Kluyveromyces lactis: one gene and its partner. The main gene of each other region encodes a partner of the protein of the gene in region 2 in a complex. Links are inferred from orthologs where the notes say so. Each region holds a gene or a part of one and is shown on either strand. Other genes may lie near its edges.

Region 1 (9,402 bases), on a different chromosome or scaffold from region 2:
ACTTTAGTGGTTGGTAACTGGATGAACAAAAGGTATGCTAAATAAACTGCACCGAACAAATGGGACCAAATGTTTAGTGTTTCATTATGCCAGCCATACCAGTTGACGACCGATAATACAGATTTTACATGAGAATCATAAAATCGGTAACCGTGGATGATGTACCTGTTTTCTCTCCATGGGAATGGTAATTCGTAGAAATGCAAATGCCTTTGGCGACCTAGATCGCATGCGTTATCCCAGTTATAGAACTGTATTGTTTTCTTAATTGAGTGAGGATCTTCAATGAACAAGTCGAGATGTTCGTCGAGGAAATCTAGCGTTTGGATCACTTGTTGGGTATCAATGTCGACGCATTTATCGTCGATAGTTTCCAGTTCACACATTTCACTACGGTCCAGCTTTAATTTGTTGATTGAGAACGAGGAGACGTTATGTGAATCGTAGCGAGAGTTGTCTTGACAGTTATCATCTGAACTGTTAGAGTGTGAAGACGAAAGAGCACTATGACTTATGCTATCGTCAAACCGAGGCATTTTCGATGAAGTTTGTGATGATGATCTGGTAGAATCCTTTGTCGAGGAGTGAAGAGTCGTAGAGCTAGAAGCAAACGAAGTGAAATGATCATCGTAAATCTGTGAGAATTTTAACAACGGAGAAGTGATTGAAGACCTGTTCAAACTTCTTTCGAACTCTTCAGCAATCATAGTTTCAGTGTCATTCTCAGGCAAAACAGCTGTTAACTCTTCCGTGGTACGTTTCAAAAACCTATAAAACGCTGGTGCGTCTGGATTGTTGATGAAATCTTGATATGAAACCTCTTTCTCAGCCTCGACAGGCTTGTTGTTCCATCTCAAAAATTTACGGCCTCTTTGTCTTAACTTGTTAAACCCTTGTCTGGGCAAACTTGTCGTCGTAGCGACAGAAGTTGAAGGAAGCACGGACTCCAATTTCTCTAGTTTCTGATTTGCTGATTTGATGAACCGTGCAAGTCTTGTTAGCGCGACGTATTCATCTTCGGAACTGAGACTGAACTCGTTGTCAACTCCAGTGACATTTTCCGAGGTATATTCCATAATAAAATCTTCAGACTTTGACATGATGTATCGGAGCTACCTGAATGAAAAAAAGAGCGAAACTGAGCCTGGCAATAACAGGGTGAAGGAGTTAACTAATACAAATAGAAAGGAATGTGATGGTGTTCTTGTCTCTTGTAATATATACCCAAAGACGAAGTATAATTTAGCTCAAACTAAAATGGAAAAAAAAGAAAAAGGATCTGGATTCAGTAGACGGAAATGTGTATAGTTTAACGGTGAATATCCTAGTCTTGAAAAAGGACGTTTGGTATGGTATGGAATAGTATTGAAACTTGTGATATGTCTTGCAGTAGTAGTTTCCCTTTCAAACCAGCTCATACTGCGGAATATATAAATTCATCTTGTTATATAAAGCATATGGAATTGATATCACATCAAATTTCAAATTTCGAATTAACCGAAAATTTCAAAAATCTCATTCACAGATACTACACATGTTTCCGGCCGTCTCTATTATACAATCACGGTTCACTCGGATATTCTTCGAACAAGAACACGGCATGTATTCAGTTTGTTCCATTCACCGTCTTCTCTTATTACTTAATTCATAATACGCTACTCGTAACAATAAGAACGTGTCGTACACCCATCATATTCTAGCCAGGCCAGAATATTGGTCTTTTTTCTTCTTATTCTCCTAGGACAAGAAACAAGATCTCTGGCCGATCTTTTCCGAAACAAAAATGTGGAGGGACAGATAGTATGGATGGACTCAGGGATCAGTTTGGGTGAGTTTGCAAGTGCGTGGGACACGCACTGCCATGTTACCCTCCTCCGCGTTCCCATTTTGTAGCCGGTCCAGTCCAGTTCAGTCTACTCAGCCATAAAAAGGAAATAAAAAAAGGCTTAACTAATGACCTAGAATACATGGAGAAGAACTGACATGTTATTCCTCTTTCTTTTCGTTTCCCTTTACCTTCCTTTTAGTTTCATTTCTTTTGGTCTCAATCTAGACCGGGTTCTCGAAATAATGCCTATCATGAAACTCCTATAAATTTATACTTTTTTTTTACTAAAATTCGAGAACATAGGGGACTCGAACGGGCGACCTTTTAAAAACTACTACCCGGACATGATTTAATTTTTCTGGTTTTTCCGAACTGGTTCCCCTGTCGAACTATGCCCTGCAAGAACGGAACATAACCGTCGAGGGATTCGTCTTCTGGCTTTCATTGTCTTTTCATGAGAAAACCTGGAATTATCGATTATCAACATTTTGAACTTTTCATATTTTGTTTAATTTACGTTTTTATGGATATTGAAACTATCCATTGGATATTAAAGTACTCTGGAGTAAAGGACACTCCAGTTCGCGGCATATATAGTCTTTTCTGAGTTTGTCCTTTGTTACAGCTTTACTCTCCAGGTACCTTAGGCTTGGGTGAACTGCATTTAGTGTATCACTTTTTTTTTCCCCCATTTTTCTTTGTTTTGTTTCTTGGGACCAGAGTTCCCTTTGTCGTTCCTCAATTTTTGTTAATACTACATTGTCGTTGATCTTCGCATTTTTACTTTATATTGGTATTTGCGGTTCCCAAGTTAGTTGTCAGTGGTTTAGAGTACTCAAATCTTGTTAAGATGTCACTTTCAGAGCAACTGAACGGCTGGAATACCGCTGTTTCTGACGATAAGGATAATAATACCCAGATTGATTCTGAATTAGCATCAATAGTCTCGTCGCTTTCGGCACTGTCAAATCCGAATGTACAGCAACAAGCACAGCAGCAGGTTCAACAGCAGCAAGTACAGGCGCAGCAGCAGCAACAGATTGGTGGGTTCAGAAGGGCCTCTTTCAATAGTAATACGGGAAGCGATGTGGACTCAGAGATCTTTTTCAATACACAGAATTCTCCCATGTTGAGGAGAACTACTCTGTCTGTAGGCGGGATGTCTCTGCCTGAGAACTCTTCGTCCCACGCTCAGAATAGATTGAATGCCATGAACCATTACTCTGCCAGTATCGCTGGTGGTCTGACAGCTCAATTCCAAAATAATAATAATCCGAACTTGAACAGTTACAACGGAAGCGTGACTAATTCTAATTCGATCGGTGTCAATAATAGTTCAGTTACATCTGGATTTTTCGAAAGGTTTGGTCGTGCCTTAGCTGAGGGTACTCGTGAAGTGGAATTGAATGTGGGTGTGGGTAGTGTTAACGTTGGTGGGCCTCCTTCGAGTTCGAATCACGCTGGTACTGGCTCGAGAAGAGCATCTGCAACCACAGGCTTGGAGCATTTATCGAGAGTCGGATCTAATACGACGCTGCATGGTGCAAGAAGAATGTCGGATACCTCTGAAGTGTTGGACTCCGTTAGTGAAAGTTTATCGATGCAAAATAATGAGCCTAATTCTACTACCATTTGGAACGTGGCTGCTGCACCCGTATTCAGACCTCAGAATGCCGAACACATGCAACAACAATACCACTACCAACAACAACAGCAGCAGCAGCAATCTCCACTGCATCAACGTCAGCCTCAATTCCAGCCTCAATTCTCTTACCGTCGTTCTAAGGACGGCAAAACTGCTCCTTTTCCAAGTGACCAGGACATTGATCCAAATGACCCTGCCTCGTTTGCTAATCAGCAGGCAGCTCCTTTCAACTATGGTTATCCTGGGTTTAATCAATTTGGAATGCCCATGTTTTTACCTCCTGTGCTGTCTCCACCACCACAACCATTCCCAGGTATGAATGGATCCAACGATAACAGTCAAGATGTCGAGACTACTGATGGTGTTACCAAAGAGGCTTCCGCTTCTAGAAAGAACCAACACGAGTCCGAATTATCAGAGACATCAGGTGAAACAGGTAATCATCCAACGATGATGCCACATCCAATGGCTCCTTATCCATTCCCCAGTCCATATCCTTTCATGTATGCTCCAATCAAAGAAGATGACACAGAAAATAATAAGGATAGTGAAACTGTTAAACCTCCTTTGAGCCCTACTTTCTTGCCACCAAATCCTTACATGTTCATGCCTCCATCTATGCAACCACGTCCAGGTAACTTACAAGACGCTCCAAGCTCCCCTCCATCCGCAGACAATGGTTCCGGTTCTAACAAGAGAAATAACGATTCTAAATACTCTGGCAAAAATAAATCAAATCCATACCTGCACGCAGGTAAGGCTCAATATTCACAATTCTCTCCGCCACCAAGTAGGGCAGGTATGGCAGTGCCCCCAAACACTTTGCAAAGTTCTTCAGGTTCAGGTGCAAACAAACAGGGTCGCCAAGGTAAAAATGCTCGCCAGAATAACAAACAGCCTATCGTTAGATCCCCATTATTGGAGGAATTCAGGAACAATTCTTCCAATAAAGTTTACAAACTTAGCGATATTTACGGCTCCGCTTTAGAGTTCTGTAAAGATCAACATGGTTCCAGATTTATCCAACAGGAATTGGCAACAGCTTCTGATGCTGATAAGGAAGTAATCTTCAATGAGATTAGAGACCAATGTATACCATTATCTCATGACGTGTTCGGTAACTATGTCATTCAAAAATTCTTTGAACATGGTACAAAAACACAAAGGGAGGTATTAGTGGATCAATTCAGAGGCAAAATGGAGAACTTGTCGTTAGAAATGTATGCTTGCCGTGTTATACAAAAGGCATTTGAATTCCTAAATGAAGATCAAAAGGTTGATCTCGTATCTGAACTTTCCCATTGTGTTTTAGCTATGATCAAAGACCAGAATGGTAACCATGTTATACAAAAAGCCATCGAGTGTATTCCGATTGAAAAATTACCATTTATTCTCCAAAGTTTAAGAGGACAAATCTATCATTTATCAACGCATTCTTACGGTTGCCGTGTAGTTCAAAGACTATTGGAATTTGGAACTCTAAAGGACCAAGATGATATTTTGAATGACTTGGATGAATTCATCCCATTCTTGATCCAGGATCAATACGGTAACTACGTAATTCAGCATATTTTACAGCATGGAACTGAAGATACGAGCAGTCACATAGGAATGAGTAAACAAAATATCATCGATATCATTCGTAAGAATGTTGTTGAATATTCAAAACACAAATTTGCCTCCAATGTTGTTGAAAAGTCAGTAGTTTACGGATCCAAAAACCAGATAAGACAGATTTTGGATCAAATTCTACCAAGAGACGAAGAGCACGCCGCTGATTTGGAAGATAATGCACCATTGATTCTAATGATGCGGGATCAATACGCGAACTACGTTGTTCAAAAGCTCGTGGGTGTCGCAACTGGTGAAGATGAGAGGTTGATTGTTATTTCCATCAGATCCTATTTGGATAAATCCAATAAAAATAACACTTTGGGTAACAGGCATTTGGCTAGTGTTGAAAAGTTAGCAACTTTGGTGGAAAAAATTCAGATATAGATGTATGTCAGCCTCAACTTGGGAAAGCAAGACAAAAAAAATTGTTCTGCCTCGAATATTTGCATTTGATAACCACGCTTTCTTTCCCTAATAACTGGTTCACTTTCTAAATCATTCTATTGATGAAGATTGCCATTTCTTACGTTTTGTATCCCCGTGATATCTCTCACGAAGATCTTAATATCTTCTAAAATCTGTTGTTGAGAACAGATTACTACCTAATAAATTAATATCCTTTAAATGTACATATTGTTTATCATCATCCTGTTTATAATACATGCAAATATTTATCTCTGCTATAAGTTTTAATGACCATAATATTATAGTACTTCTAGAATCCTAATGGTGATATCGTTCAGATGAAATCAACCCGTTAATGCAAAATGTGTCATATGCGTTACCTGACCAAAGTGAACGCTAACGTCCAAGTCATGACAAACCCAGCTAGCTCGCGGAATAGATTTTTAACCCATATTTTATGCACTGGATTAGTAAAATATAGACTAGGCTTGAATTTGCAAAACCACGCTATAAATATGAGGTTCACCAGGATATAAACAGCAAAAAACATTCCAAAACCTGCAAAAGATTGAAGTTGCAATATCCCAGCACTAAGTCCTGCTGTCAGCATTGTAGAATCCTGTATCCGTAGTAGTTTGTTGTTGTTGAAACTTCCACTTTTGGAAGACTTTAGGTCGGTGAAGCGATAACTCATTTTCCAATGCTGTTATCTCGTAGTTATGATTGCAATTGGTTGCAATAAGCCAAGACTAGAATAAAAGTGATTTATTATGATAAATGCAGCACTTAAGGATCAATCGAATCGCAGATTGAAAAGCTCTGTTTCTAACGGTGGTTCTATTCATTTAATTGAAGATGGAGATCTGTTATTGTCGGTTTGATGCTGATGTAATTGTTACCCGCCTTAAAGAGTCGAACCTTTTCTTTCACGAAACTTGAGAAACGTTTGACAAACTCATCGCAGCTCATCGCATCAACCATATCTACGTTGGCAGTTGGTGTAACTAGGTATTGTTCACCAGCTAATCAACTATAACTTTCATTGTTCAATAAAACATCTTTGTTCGAAATATCTGCGTTTACTTGATACGATAAAGAGGGAAGATGTCCACGGAATTAGAAGAATTAGTGTCATTTTTGCATTCAGACCAGCCTGCCGTCAGACAGATTGCTCTTGATAATCTGGTTGGCTTCTCAACTGGAGCAAGTGCTGTCATTTTCAAATGTAATAATTACAAAGCTATAGAGGATCTAAAAGTTCTAGCTAAAGATAAGTCAAAAGTTATCGTTCAACAATCCACTACGATTTTAGCGAATTTATGTGATGATGTTACTATGAGAAAGTTGATCGTCAAGGATACTGAATTCCTACAGTACTTATCGTGGAAAATCTGTGATTTAGCTAACGCAAGTGCGGATATCATGTGTATTTTATTGTCTAATCTCGCCAAGGAAGACAATATTACCGAATTGTTTTCGTTTGTTAAGAAGGAAGACGATGGTATTCCATTAAACATAGAAGTCTTTAAAAGCAACAAAGTAATGGATTGCTTAATGGATTGTTTTGTGAAGGGTTACGATAGAAAGTTGAACAGATATGCCACTTATGACTACTTAGCTTATTTCTTTGCCGACATTTCGAGATTTAAGATTGGTAGAGAGTATTTCATTGAACAGCAGGAGTATGACGGCGTCATCCCAATTTCTAAACTATTGGTATTCACTGAAAAGTATGATGCTAAAACCAGAAGAGAAGGTGTGGCTTATACCATCAAGAATTCGTTATTTGATTCCGAAAAGCATGAAAACCTTTTGACTAATGAGGAAATCAATCTTTTACCTTATATTCTTCTACCGATTGCATCAGCTAAAGACTCCGAAATTGATGAAGAAGATATGTTCAATCTACCGGATGAATTGCAACTCTTACCTGCCGACAAAGAGAGAGATCCTATTCCTGAAATCATATGTGTGCATTTAGAAAGTATTTTATTGCTTTGTACCACTAAAGCCGGCAGAGAATACTTAAGATCGAAATCAGTATACCCATTGGTCAGAGAGTTACATAAAAATATTGGAAATGACGATATCGGTGAATTATCTCATAGAATTGTTAACATGTTGATGAGAGGTGAGCCGGAGAATCAAGTGATAGAAGAAATCGTGGCCAAATCTGCGGAAGATGGCGAAATAGCCGAGATAGAAGAAGAAGAAGAAGAAGAAGAGTCCGACGATGATGACGATGCTATCGTCGAAGTTTTATAAATGATAACTTCCTATAGATATCTTGTTTTCAAATAACATATATTTATTTTAAGCGTACTTATTGTTAATAAACTGACTATATCAATATGCTATTTCCTGCCCCTTCCAATTGGACCCAGGTGATATATATCAATTATCACTACATGTATATCTCCAGAGGTTTGAAAACGAGGAAATTATGTTAACTACTTACTCAATTCGAGGAATTTACCGTTCAGTTTAACAAGTTTCTTGACAAAAACCTTCATTCTTTCTTTATTGTCAGGATGTCTACCGACCTTTTCTTTCAATTGTCTGATTAATTGTTTCAAAGTCAACTGCTTGCCCTCAATTGCATTGATTATATCGTCTTCCGTTAACAAATCATCTGCCGAGTGATCAGACTTTGCCCTCTTATTGTCCATAGATTCTTGTGGCTGAGACTCTGCTGGACGTTTCTTCAAGTTTGGATTCCAGGCTCCTGCAGGGAAGTTCGATAATACTGATTTCTCACCAGTTAGTACAACGATATTTTGATTAATGCTTTTTACTACTAATTTTGGTGGACCTGATGGTGTGTCAGAAGCTTTCTTCTTTGGTGAGGATCTCCGACTTTGCTTTTCATTATCCTTCTCGGAATCTTTCTTATCCGAATCAGCTTGCTCTTCATCTTCCTCAGAGTGTGATAGATATGGGTTCTCTTCTGCATCAGATTCATATAAAGCACCCAGATCTGTTTTAAGGAGGGCTTTCTTGACTTTTTCACCTTCTTCGTCAATTTTTTTCTCTCCAAATAGTTCGTCATCTGACTCTTCCCCATCATCGTCACGTAATCCCAAAGCATTAGCTTGTAACATTTCTTTCTTGATCCTTTGTTCCGATTCCTTATTCTCTTCTTCATTACCGTCTATGATTGGTGCTTCTTCATCATCCGCAAATTCTTCATCGTAATCCAATTCGACCTCTGAGTTATCTCCACGGTCCTCATCATCTTCGGCCTGTCTTGTGTTCCCATCGACAGCTCTAAGTCTTCTTAAGGTTCTATCATATCTTGTGGTTGTTTTACTGGACTCGTCCAAATGCTTCATAAACCAACGAGGAGCACCTTCTTTGTTCTTCTCCATCCTTTTCTCGGCTTCTTCAATGGTCAATGTGTTATATTTATTTCTTGCAGTGAAACGGTAGACTTTATCCGCAGGAATCATAGTAAAGCTCCCGTCGTCTTCAACACTTAAAAGGACATATGAGTCTGAGTTACCTGCTTCGTATGAACCTACCCAGGTGTTAAAACCATCAAAATCTTCCATGACCCATGGATAAAATTCTTCGAATCTTAACCTTTTCGCTTCTTCATCTAATCTCTTCAACTGTCTTGTCTTTCTTTTAGAATTACCCCTTCTAAAACGACCACCTCCATGTGGTGCAACATCAGCCATAGGGTCTATAGTACCTTCTTCGTGTATCTCAGGTTCAGCCTTACCATCATATTTAACCATACCGACCTTAGTTGGGTCTTCTGCCACTCCAGCCTCTTCAAGGATAGTGACGGTATTGCTGGGAGTTCCTTCTTTCCCATTTGGAGGAGAGCCGGAATCTGTGCCAGTTTTCAGCTCTGAACTTGATGAACCGTTATTATTCACGTTAGGACCATCTGTATTATTATAAT
Region 2 (9,507 bases):
TCGGCAATTCATTTAAAAGGGAGGCATCATTATTCACCTTCCCAATCGCTTCCGAGGCTGAATTCAATTCCAAGTCAATTAAAAATAGCAGATTTCCCGTTTCATCTACTACAGGCGCTCTCCATAGAAATAGATCACCAGGTTTGATCGATTTCCCGGTGGGTGATTGTATAAAGTCCGAACCAATCAATTTCTTAAGACTAGATATGAAGTCTCCAATAAACCTTTCTTCTACTGTGAGCTCAAAGAGGGTAGTTTGAGAATCCAGTGGTTCAGCAGCGTGATACATCAATTGACGCCTATCCTTCGCACTATTTTTAGGTTTTAATAGGTATATGCCATGATCAAGTACAGTAGCCGAATACCTGTTGAATATATCAAGGGCAGGACTCAATTTGCTGCCGCTTCTATGGCATATTATGTTGTGTTCAGATAATTGACCAAGCAACGGATTGAATGAGCTAAGTTCACATAACTGTGGTAGAAACAGTCTCAATTGGTACTTGCAGGATTGTATTTCTCTAACTTCAAGATGGAAAGGCCTCGATAGTGGACGTTTAGGGCAGATGTATTGTATTTCTACCTCTCTTGGTTTATGTGTAAGATCACAAGTGCAACCATCTACCAAAGTTTCGCTAAGATACACTCTACCAGTTTTACTCTTAGCAAAGTGATAATCAATAGTTGAGTTGTAGTTAGATGAGTTCCCTAAAAGGTACGTTTCGCCAAAATAACCTTTTTGCACAACAGTCCTCGTCTCACCAGAGGATATAATATAAGTCCAGTAAGAAATAGGCACTGTATTCATTTCAATAGGGTTTGGAGCCAAGATCGCATTAACCATGTTAACTGCTTCAATGAGAGCTCCTTCAGAATTAAAAGTATCTTCTTCATGATGTTGAATCAACGACGAAGTGTTCCTTTGGTAACACAAAACATCGGACCCTTCGTAGGGGCGGAAAAGCCGTCCTTCTTGGAGCAATGTCTCATTATCTATTACACTTAGGAACTCTTGCTCATCAACGTATTTTAGCGAATAAGGCGTAGAGCTATATGGATTGAATGCTGAGACACCTGAATAAATCCATGAGATAGCAAACACCACCGACGTAACTGGTAAAAATATCATATAAGGCGGCAGATACACTAGCTACAATCAACCTCTGACGAATTGACAACAATGCGCCAACAAATAATAGCTCCGTATATCATTTTTGTACTTTCCACTAAGTAAACTTAAACGTTTGTAATATAAGAATCCAATTAATCGAATTAATCCAATTTTAAACCTTAAACTGAATAAATGTAATAATAAAAAGGATGAATCTCACAGCATAGACTGGTGTTTCCATCATATAACACAGCGGAAAACTGGTTGGATTTATCTTCAAATAATTAGCTATGCTAAAAATGATTCAATTGTTACTAATACTTCTGTTTCACTTGCGTGCGGTAGTGGCATCTCTACAAGGTACTGGTGATCTTTACTTATTGAACAATTTGAATGAAAGGTACAGCCTGGCAACTTTCGAAGCTGGTGATGAGGTAGGTATTAACCTGGCTGTGACAGCCAATCGAATTACAGACGGTGAATATAAAGTTTGTGGGACTTTTCAAGATTATTACGATGAGTGTTTCTCTTTCATCCATATAAAGCAACCATTGTCATACGAACTGGAGCTGGTGGTACTTGATGATAAACTAGTTCGTATGTCGATTCATGCAGATGATAGTATTGATGGCATCGTACCACTGATAAAGGAGGTTGGAAATGGTCCCATACCGGAAAGTATCAAGTTGAAGAAAAGAACTCTGACTTACGAGGCAAAGAAAAAAGCTCAGAGAAAGGATACAGGGACCGCTGCATTTGAAGAAGATGTTGTAGAGAACAAAACGTTTCTTCAGAAAAACTGGAAGTACGTTGTCATAGGGCTACTCGCCTATGTCTTTTTATCCAGTGGATCACAGAAATAATTTCATGTTTTACCATCTTGCTACGTATATATACGTTCAAGAAGACAAAGAAATGACCAGACGACTGACTTTTATTGCTTGGATAGGATAGGAGTGGTTGAAACATTCAATTAACTCTACGAATACGAAATGTATTACAATTAGTGACATGGATTATTTTGATGAGCAATTTGCCTTGAGTTTATTAATTGAGTGCTCGATGGAAAGACTGAAGTGAAAGATTTACCAATGTTGGCTTTTTAAAAGGATCGAAACTAAGCAACTCCATTACTCACTTCTTATCAACAATCGATCATGCTTTTCTCATTTGCACTGTAACACTGTAGTTGCTGTTACGATAATTCACTTTGCACTTGACTTTCCAGTCAATTAGACTGCCAATCAGCTTCACGATATCATGCACAGTAGTGTTTACTACCAACTCGATAGAACTGTATCCCACTTCACATCTTATTTAATTTATTTACCTGTATATCGTCATAAACAAGTAATGAATGAATTTAAAACTGTTGGGCATTCAATCGTAAACCTCACATCAAACAGTATAGAAAAAAAAGGGAATCCTTAAAAGCCAACCATATCCACATAGCTGTTAGTTTTCGCGGCAATGCAGTGGCATATCAGTGATTACATCAATCCGGTGACGGTACAGAGGTATCAGACTTTGGTTACATCTATCTTGCCAAAAGCAAAAGTATCAAACGATATATCGCTTTCAGGTTCACATTTATTGTTCTTCCATCCAGTAACAGCTGCCCTCAGCGAAGACGGATACTACTCGTACCAGACTCCTGGTGCTATATTGAAACGTGAAGTGCCCTTTCGGCGTCGCATGTGGGTTCAGGGATCAATTGAGTTCAAGAAATCACTGACAGATGGCTGGTACAATTGTCAAGAAGAACTTAAATTCATCAAAGAACTGAACAAAGACCATTTCGTAGGGTTGAAGAGAACTATACGAGACGAAAAGGGGTACCTATATGTTAAAGAGTTAAGAACGTTGATATATACTAATCAAAAAGTCTCAGATAAAGTAATAACCAAGTCCGAAGATTACAGTACCCGAGAAATCATCAATTTGGAAGATATCGATGTCATGGTTTACAGTTCGATCAGTTCGAATCCTCATAGAATACATTGGGATAGGGACTATTCGCGCAACGTAGAGGGATACCGTGATGTTATAGTACAGGGCCCGTTTTTGGTTCAATTGGTGATCAACTATTTCGAACAATGTTTTGGAAGACAAGTCTCCAGCATAAAATACAAGAATACGTCTCATGTGTATGCTGGCACAGATCTTGAAATCTGTCACAATGGACTCGGGAAGGATGGTCAAATCAGTATAATATTGAGAGATCCTAAGGATTCACATAAGGTTTACTTTGAGTGTAAGATAGCTTCATGTATACATATAGAGTAAAAGTACAATCATTGGTGGTTGAAATGAGCCTTCTTCTTTCCTGGGAAAGATGCAAGAGCGGATTCAGTACTCTGCCAATGCCGCAGTTTGTTTGCTGGTTTTTGATCAACATCTATTATCGTAGCCTTGACGCTCCTTGTATTGCGGGACCAGGTCAAGAAACAGGTCACATCTCTTAGCGTCATTAGCGTTGACAAATCATCTTTCACAAAACGCTGAGCAGCATAGAGCCTCTGTGTAATACTGTCACTTGATTGGAGATACTGCAGAATGTCATCAAGAAATTCTTCTGGCACTTGGCGTCCTGCAAACAGCGTTTCGATAATCAGCTCCGGATCATGTAAAAAACAGTACTCAATATCTCTTCCCTTCAGCGAGTTATGTGTACAATTCCTACAATAATCACTAGATTGATACAACCACTTTGGCTTGAATTCCCAAGTAATAGCATCATTCAATGAGCATCGATAGATTTGATTGAAATGGTCCAACTGTTCACATGTACTATCCTTGGCATGCAATAAAGGCATGACTATGCATTGCATATGACTATCATCGATTAAGATATTCTCATCTTTCAACACATTAATCCATTTTGTATCGACAAACACCTCTTCTAACCTCATGGAAACAACCACATCGGCCAACATAGGAAGTGACCTGATCTTGGAATCGATAAACTGGAAGTTGTCCTGCACATATGCATTGTTCCTGGAAAGTTTCTGGTGCCTTAAGCTGATACGGTACACTTCACCAGAAAGGAGATAGCAAACATTAGCATTGCCTCTACCAACGAACAATAGAGTCATACCATAGTTTCACACAAAGAACCAAGGCAAACCCAAAAAGTAGGTCATGTGTTTAATCGTGGTGCAGCATCGTTTCTTTGACTTGTCATCTCGTCACCAGATTAGAGATTTATAAAACTAAAAGGCTTTACCTTTTAGGAATTTTTCACTTCTCACCGCATGAACTTTACAACTGTAAGAACAAGACGGTATTAACTCTGATCTATAACCTGATTCACCACATTATACTTAGGCGATTGGAGCTTCATTGTTCAGAAAGAAGTGCTCTACCAACTTACCTACTAACTTACAACGAAAAGATGTCCAACATTGACGGTAAATTACCTGACATCTTAAGCGATGCTGTGTTGAAGCAATCTGTTCCAGTGCCTGATAATTTTGTTAAGGTCGAAGGTATTGATTACAGCAAACCAGAATCACGCAACATGCGTTCTAAGGATTTAATTAAATCGATGGCTACTATGGGCTTCCAGGCGTCTTCTTTGGGAAAAGCCTGCGATATTATCGATGAGATGAGATCCTGGAGAGGTGAACATCGTGACAAGTTGGAAGAACATGACCGCAAGGGTTCTTTTGACAATGATGGGTACCAAAAGACTACTATCTTTATGGGTTACACTTCGAATTTGATTTCTTCTGGCTTGCGTGAGACTTTACGTTTCTTGGTTCAGAATAAGATGGTCGATGCCATTGTTGCAACTGCAGGCGGTGTTGAAGAAGATATCATCAAGTGTTTGGCTGACACTTACCTTGGTGAGTTTTCTTTACCTGGTAAAGGGTTACGTGACCAAGGTATGAACCGTATTGGTAATTTGCTGGTTCCTAACGACAACTATTGTAAGTTTGAAGAATGGATCGTTCCAATCTTGGACAAGATGCTTGAAGAACAAGAAAACTACGTCGAATCTCAGGGTAAAGACTGTTTGGATAGCAACTTCGATCAAGACTCTCCGGTATGGACTCCTTCCAAGTTGATCCGTAGGTTAGGTAAAGAGATCAACGATGAATCCAGTGTTCTATACTGGGCTTATAAGAACGATATCCCAATCTTTTGTCCTGCTGTCACCGATGGTTCCATTGGTGATATGTTGTTTTTCCATACCTTCAAGGCATCTCCTAAACAGTTGAGACTAGATATTGTTTCTGATATTCGTAAGATTAACTCTATGTCTATGGAAGCATCACGGGCAGGTATGATTATCCTTGGTGGTGGGTTAATCAAACATCACATCGCAAACGCATGTTTGATGAGAAACGGTGCAGATTACGCTGTTTATATCAACACGGGTCAAGAATTTGACGGTTCTGATGCTGGTGCAAGACCAGATGAGGCTGTTTCCTGGGGTAAGATTAAAGCAGACGCTAAGTCCGTTAAGGTCTATGCAGATGCCACTGTCGTTTTCCCATTAGTCGTCGCTGCCACTTTTGCTAGCGAATAGAACACTTTATAAAAACAATAGATATCTGTATATATTCATAACCTCGAGTCTGAGCCAACTGCATGAGAATTCATTGTTGTCAGTGGTGTTGGATTGGGTCAACACCACTTGGTTATTAAGACATTCACTCAACCCAATTGTACCACGTGATATTCTAAATTTTTCAAGATCGATTCAACCTCGAAACCGTCTCATCTCGCTCTCTCTTTATCTTGAGTTAACGCAAAAGAACCGACAAAACAGCCTTCCGATATGGTCTTCTGGTCTGTTTTAACAGGGTCTCAAGAATCACCTGTGATCTGTTTCACTAATGTTTGCTGTCAGACGCAATTTCTTGCGGGGGCCATTGAGAGTAACGCAATGTGGGCCAAGCTTAGGTTCGGGATATAAGGTTCTTGATCTTGTACGCTGCAAAAGTACATACATACCTTCTCCAGATTCCGTTTACAAGAAGCCTAAATCAAAGGAGCAGATTGCTAGGGAGAAGCATGAAGCGGATTTGAAATCTGACAACTGGATTATTAGGTACGGGGCCATTGCAAGGTCCGAGAAGTTTTCGAAAGCTTTAACGAAATACATTCTTGCCGCATATGTGGTGTTCATTCTATATGGGTTAAACTATACCAAGAAGCTTTATAAGAAGGACAAGGAGTTAGAAGATATTAGTGCAAAGATTGATATGGGAGTAGCAAATGAATATGAGTTGTTGCGCTATAAGGAACTAAAAAATACGTTAAGAACAAGAGATGTGGAGAAATTGAAACAATACCAAAAGATTATAGAGAAAGATGGGACTGAGAATTTGGATAAGATTACCTTGGAAAACAACGATCAAAACAAGATTAACGAGAAAATTCTACCTGCTAGGGATACCACTGATTTCTATGAAATGAAGGCAGAAGAGTACGATGAGGGTGTGAGTTTTGAAGAAATGATGATCAGAATGGGTAAAAGACGTAAGTGGCTCATGAAACATTGTAAAGGAGATGTTCTCGAAGTCGCTTGTGGTACTGGTAGGAATATCAAATATTTAGACCCAACGAAGATCAACTCAATCACATTCTTGGATGCATCGGAAAAGATGATGGAAATCACAAATAAAAAATTCAGAGAAGCACTACCCAATTTCAAGAAATGTGCATTTGTTGTAGGGAAAGCGGAAGATTTGATCGACTTGAACTCGAAGGAGACACCTGTTAAGTATGATACTATTGTTGAAGCGTTTGGTCTTTGTTCACATCACGATCCTGTAAAATCTTTGAAGAATTTTGCTGAATTGTTGAAACCTGGCGGTAGAATCATTCTCTTGGAACACGGAAGAGGTTCATACGATACAATCAACAAAATTCTTGACGATAGAGCTGAGAAACGTTTAAAGACATGGGGTTGTAGATGGAACTTGGATATCGGAGAAATCCTTGACGATTCTGGATTGGATGTCGTCGAAGAAAGAAGAACACATTTCGGTACGACATGGTGTATTGTTGCCAAGCGTAAAGGTGACGGTAAGAAGAAAGAAGAAATTGGCTTCTTTGAAAAGTATCTTGGTGCTAGTGTTAAGAGCAGAATTGAATCTTTCACAAACGATGGAAAGAAGCAAGACTCGCTACAAGCTACCCATAATAAACCAACATCTGAGACATCCAAATGATGGTACTCTTATCGAAAAGATTTTATTATTTGTAAATATTATGCACTTTATTTATAAAATACTACTTCATGTAAATATTAATATTACCGATTACAACCTATGCTGCTCCCCTCATCTTCTCTGAGTTGATGACGTCTTGACCTAAGGACTCCATCGTCTCCGATTCAATTAACTGTCCCAAGTTACCATAAGCCATTGAAGCCTCATATGCGGATATTATTCTTGGCTCAGTGATACCGAGTTCGCAATGTGCTAACGCCTTAATTACGTTTGCATATCTTGTGATTGTTTGCCTAACGCTTACAGTAACAGTATCATTTTTATCCGAATATATTTCCCAAGAACTCTCTTCTTCCAATCTTGTAATGGAAACCGACATTGCATTGTTGGATCCTGGTAAATGGTCAGATTGTCCTGAACCTGTAGTAGTGGTCTTACCGGAAAGATCCATCTTGGAGGATTTCCTTATCCATACGAACCCATTTACACCCAAGATAATGGTGACATTCCCTGGAAGATTATGTGTATGATTTTTAGATCTCACTATTAGGGAACTTGGGACTTGAACAAACGTACCATTCCTTAGTTTCCCATATTTCAACGATCTGGTATGTAATGAAGCTGAACCGTCTTGGAACAACGATTGGACTTCAGCGTTTAGTAGATCACCTTCTTTCAAGAAGTTTCTCATTTGCAACTCATCTGTCTCTGACTTACGTCTCAATACACCACCTGGTAAATTAACAGAACCCAACATCAAAACCGCATACTGTTTGGCTCCAATATCCACTTTCCACCTTCTATTACCAACATCAGTGATTCTACCCACGATGTGGTCACCTGTTTCGGGAATATAACGAGATTTTAATGGTAAAACGGATAGCAATCTATTCACTCTCGATACTGTGCCAACCACAGAACTGTATGTCTTGTTTTCCAAGAAATAAGTACCATGACCCTTCATCCATATAGGATCATCGGTTATTAATTCACCAGGTGTGACAATAGACCCATCCTGATGGTCTATTCCACCATTGGAATCGTGAGCACCGCTCATCTCAATGTCATGTTCTTGCTCTGAACCTGAGCTGGAATCTGATTCATATTCATCCTGTTCTAAACGGCCATTAGACCAAAATTCGTTCCTATTGATAACACTAATAACATCACTCATTGTTCCAAGTAATGATATAACGATGTCAGGGACTGCAGAAGGCGTTCGATGTGCTGACTTCCTCGCTGTACCTTTGTTACTTTTGGTGTTAGTTAACTGAAAATTTTCCAAATTAAATAAGAGAGCGATGAGATGAGATGAGATGAGCGTTGTAAAAGATGTAAAAATGTTGCAGCAAAGATCGACCGTCAGGCAGCGTTTTATTTGGTGAAGTGATAGCACACTATTTTGCTCCATTTTTCAAGGATAGAGGAGGACTAGTTTTATGAGGTTTGGCCTAGTGCTTCGAAGAACAATGAGTAGAGCTATTGAAACTACGTTCAAATATGAACCACCAGTGCATCGTGGCATGAAACAATTAGATAAATCATTATTCGTAAAGAAGCTTCCTGTTGTTGTATTGCTATTGAAGAATCCAAAGAATATTTCTGTCTTCACCAAGAAGTTCAAGGACGATATATTAAGGACACCAAGAATTCCATTCGTTATAAGACTTGGCGAAACACCAAAAGAAGATACTGATAAGAACGATGTCGAGCCAGTACAGAAGAAAAGCAAATCCCTGGCCAATGACAACCATATAACCAAAGGTATCATACTAAAAGACAGTATACAAGATGTTTCGCAGGCGAGAGGGAAGTTGACCTCCAATGCACTAGAATTTCTTGATGAGCAAGAGTATGAGTTGAGAAACCATGAGTATGTGCTAGATTATGACTTCTGGAAAGTGGAAGAGATTCTAAATGCAATTTTACCAGAGGAGTACCTTGCTGAGATTCCTACTGGGTTCACTATTGTGGGACACGTAGCTCATTTGAATTTAAGGAAAGAGTTCAAACCGTTTGGTGAAATAATTGGACAAGTCATCTTGGACAAGAATTCGACGATCAAGACCGTGGTCGATAAAGTGGATTCCATTGCTACCAAATTCAGAACTTTCGAAATGAACGTCCTAGCGGGTGAACCGAACCTGCTAGTGACTCAAAGGGAATCTGATTGTTCATTCACTTTCGATTTCAGTAAAGTGTACTGGAACT

Evidence for each region. Proteins that work in one complex are often made in the same cells at the same time.
Region 1: EMC10 (region 2) and EMC6 share a complex: the UniProt entries of both Saccharomyces cerevisiae proteins name them as parts of the ER membrane protein complex. The link is inferred for Kluyveromyces lactis from reciprocal best matches to the Saccharomyces cerevisiae genes EMC10 and EMC6.

What each region holds. Positions count from the first base shown.
Region 1 is NC_006042.1:1,425,192-1,434,593, reverse strand, and holds EMC6 (Emc6p), read right to left. Parts: upstream 6,187-9,402; coding exon 5,869-6,186; downstream 1-5,868. Other genes in the region: IZH3 (Izh3p), read right to left, coding at 1-1,100; mRNA-binding protein PUF3, read left to right, coding at 2,679-5,471; HGH1 (Hgh1p), read left to right, coding at 6,597-7,757; transcription factor IIF subunit TFG1, read right to left, coding at 7,943-9,402. UniProt on the Saccharomyces cerevisiae protein: Part of the endoplasmic reticulum membrane protein complex (EMC) that enables the energy-independent insertion into endoplasmic reticulum membranes of newly synthesized membrane proteins.
Region 2 is NC_006041.1:1,122,992-1,132,498, forward strand, and holds EMC10 (Emc10p), read left to right. Parts: upstream 1-1,401; coding exon 1,402-1,974; downstream 1,975-9,507. Other genes in the region: YOS9 (Yos9p), read right to left, coding at 1-1,129; hydroxyacyl-thioester dehydratase HTD2, read left to right, coding at 2,582-3,397; IPK1 (inositol pentakisphosphate 2-kinase), read right to left, coding at 3,406-4,206; DYS1 (deoxyhypusine synthase), read left to right, coding at 4,506-5,645; OMS1 (putative RNA methyltransferase), read left to right, coding at 5,956-7,296; exosome non-catalytic core subunit RRP4, read right to left, coding at 7,394-8,707; TRM5 (tRNA (guanine) methyltransferase), read left to right, coding at 8,736-9,507. UniProt on the Saccharomyces cerevisiae protein: Part of the endoplasmic reticulum membrane protein complex (EMC) that enables the energy-independent insertion into endoplasmic reticulum membranes of newly synthesized membrane proteins.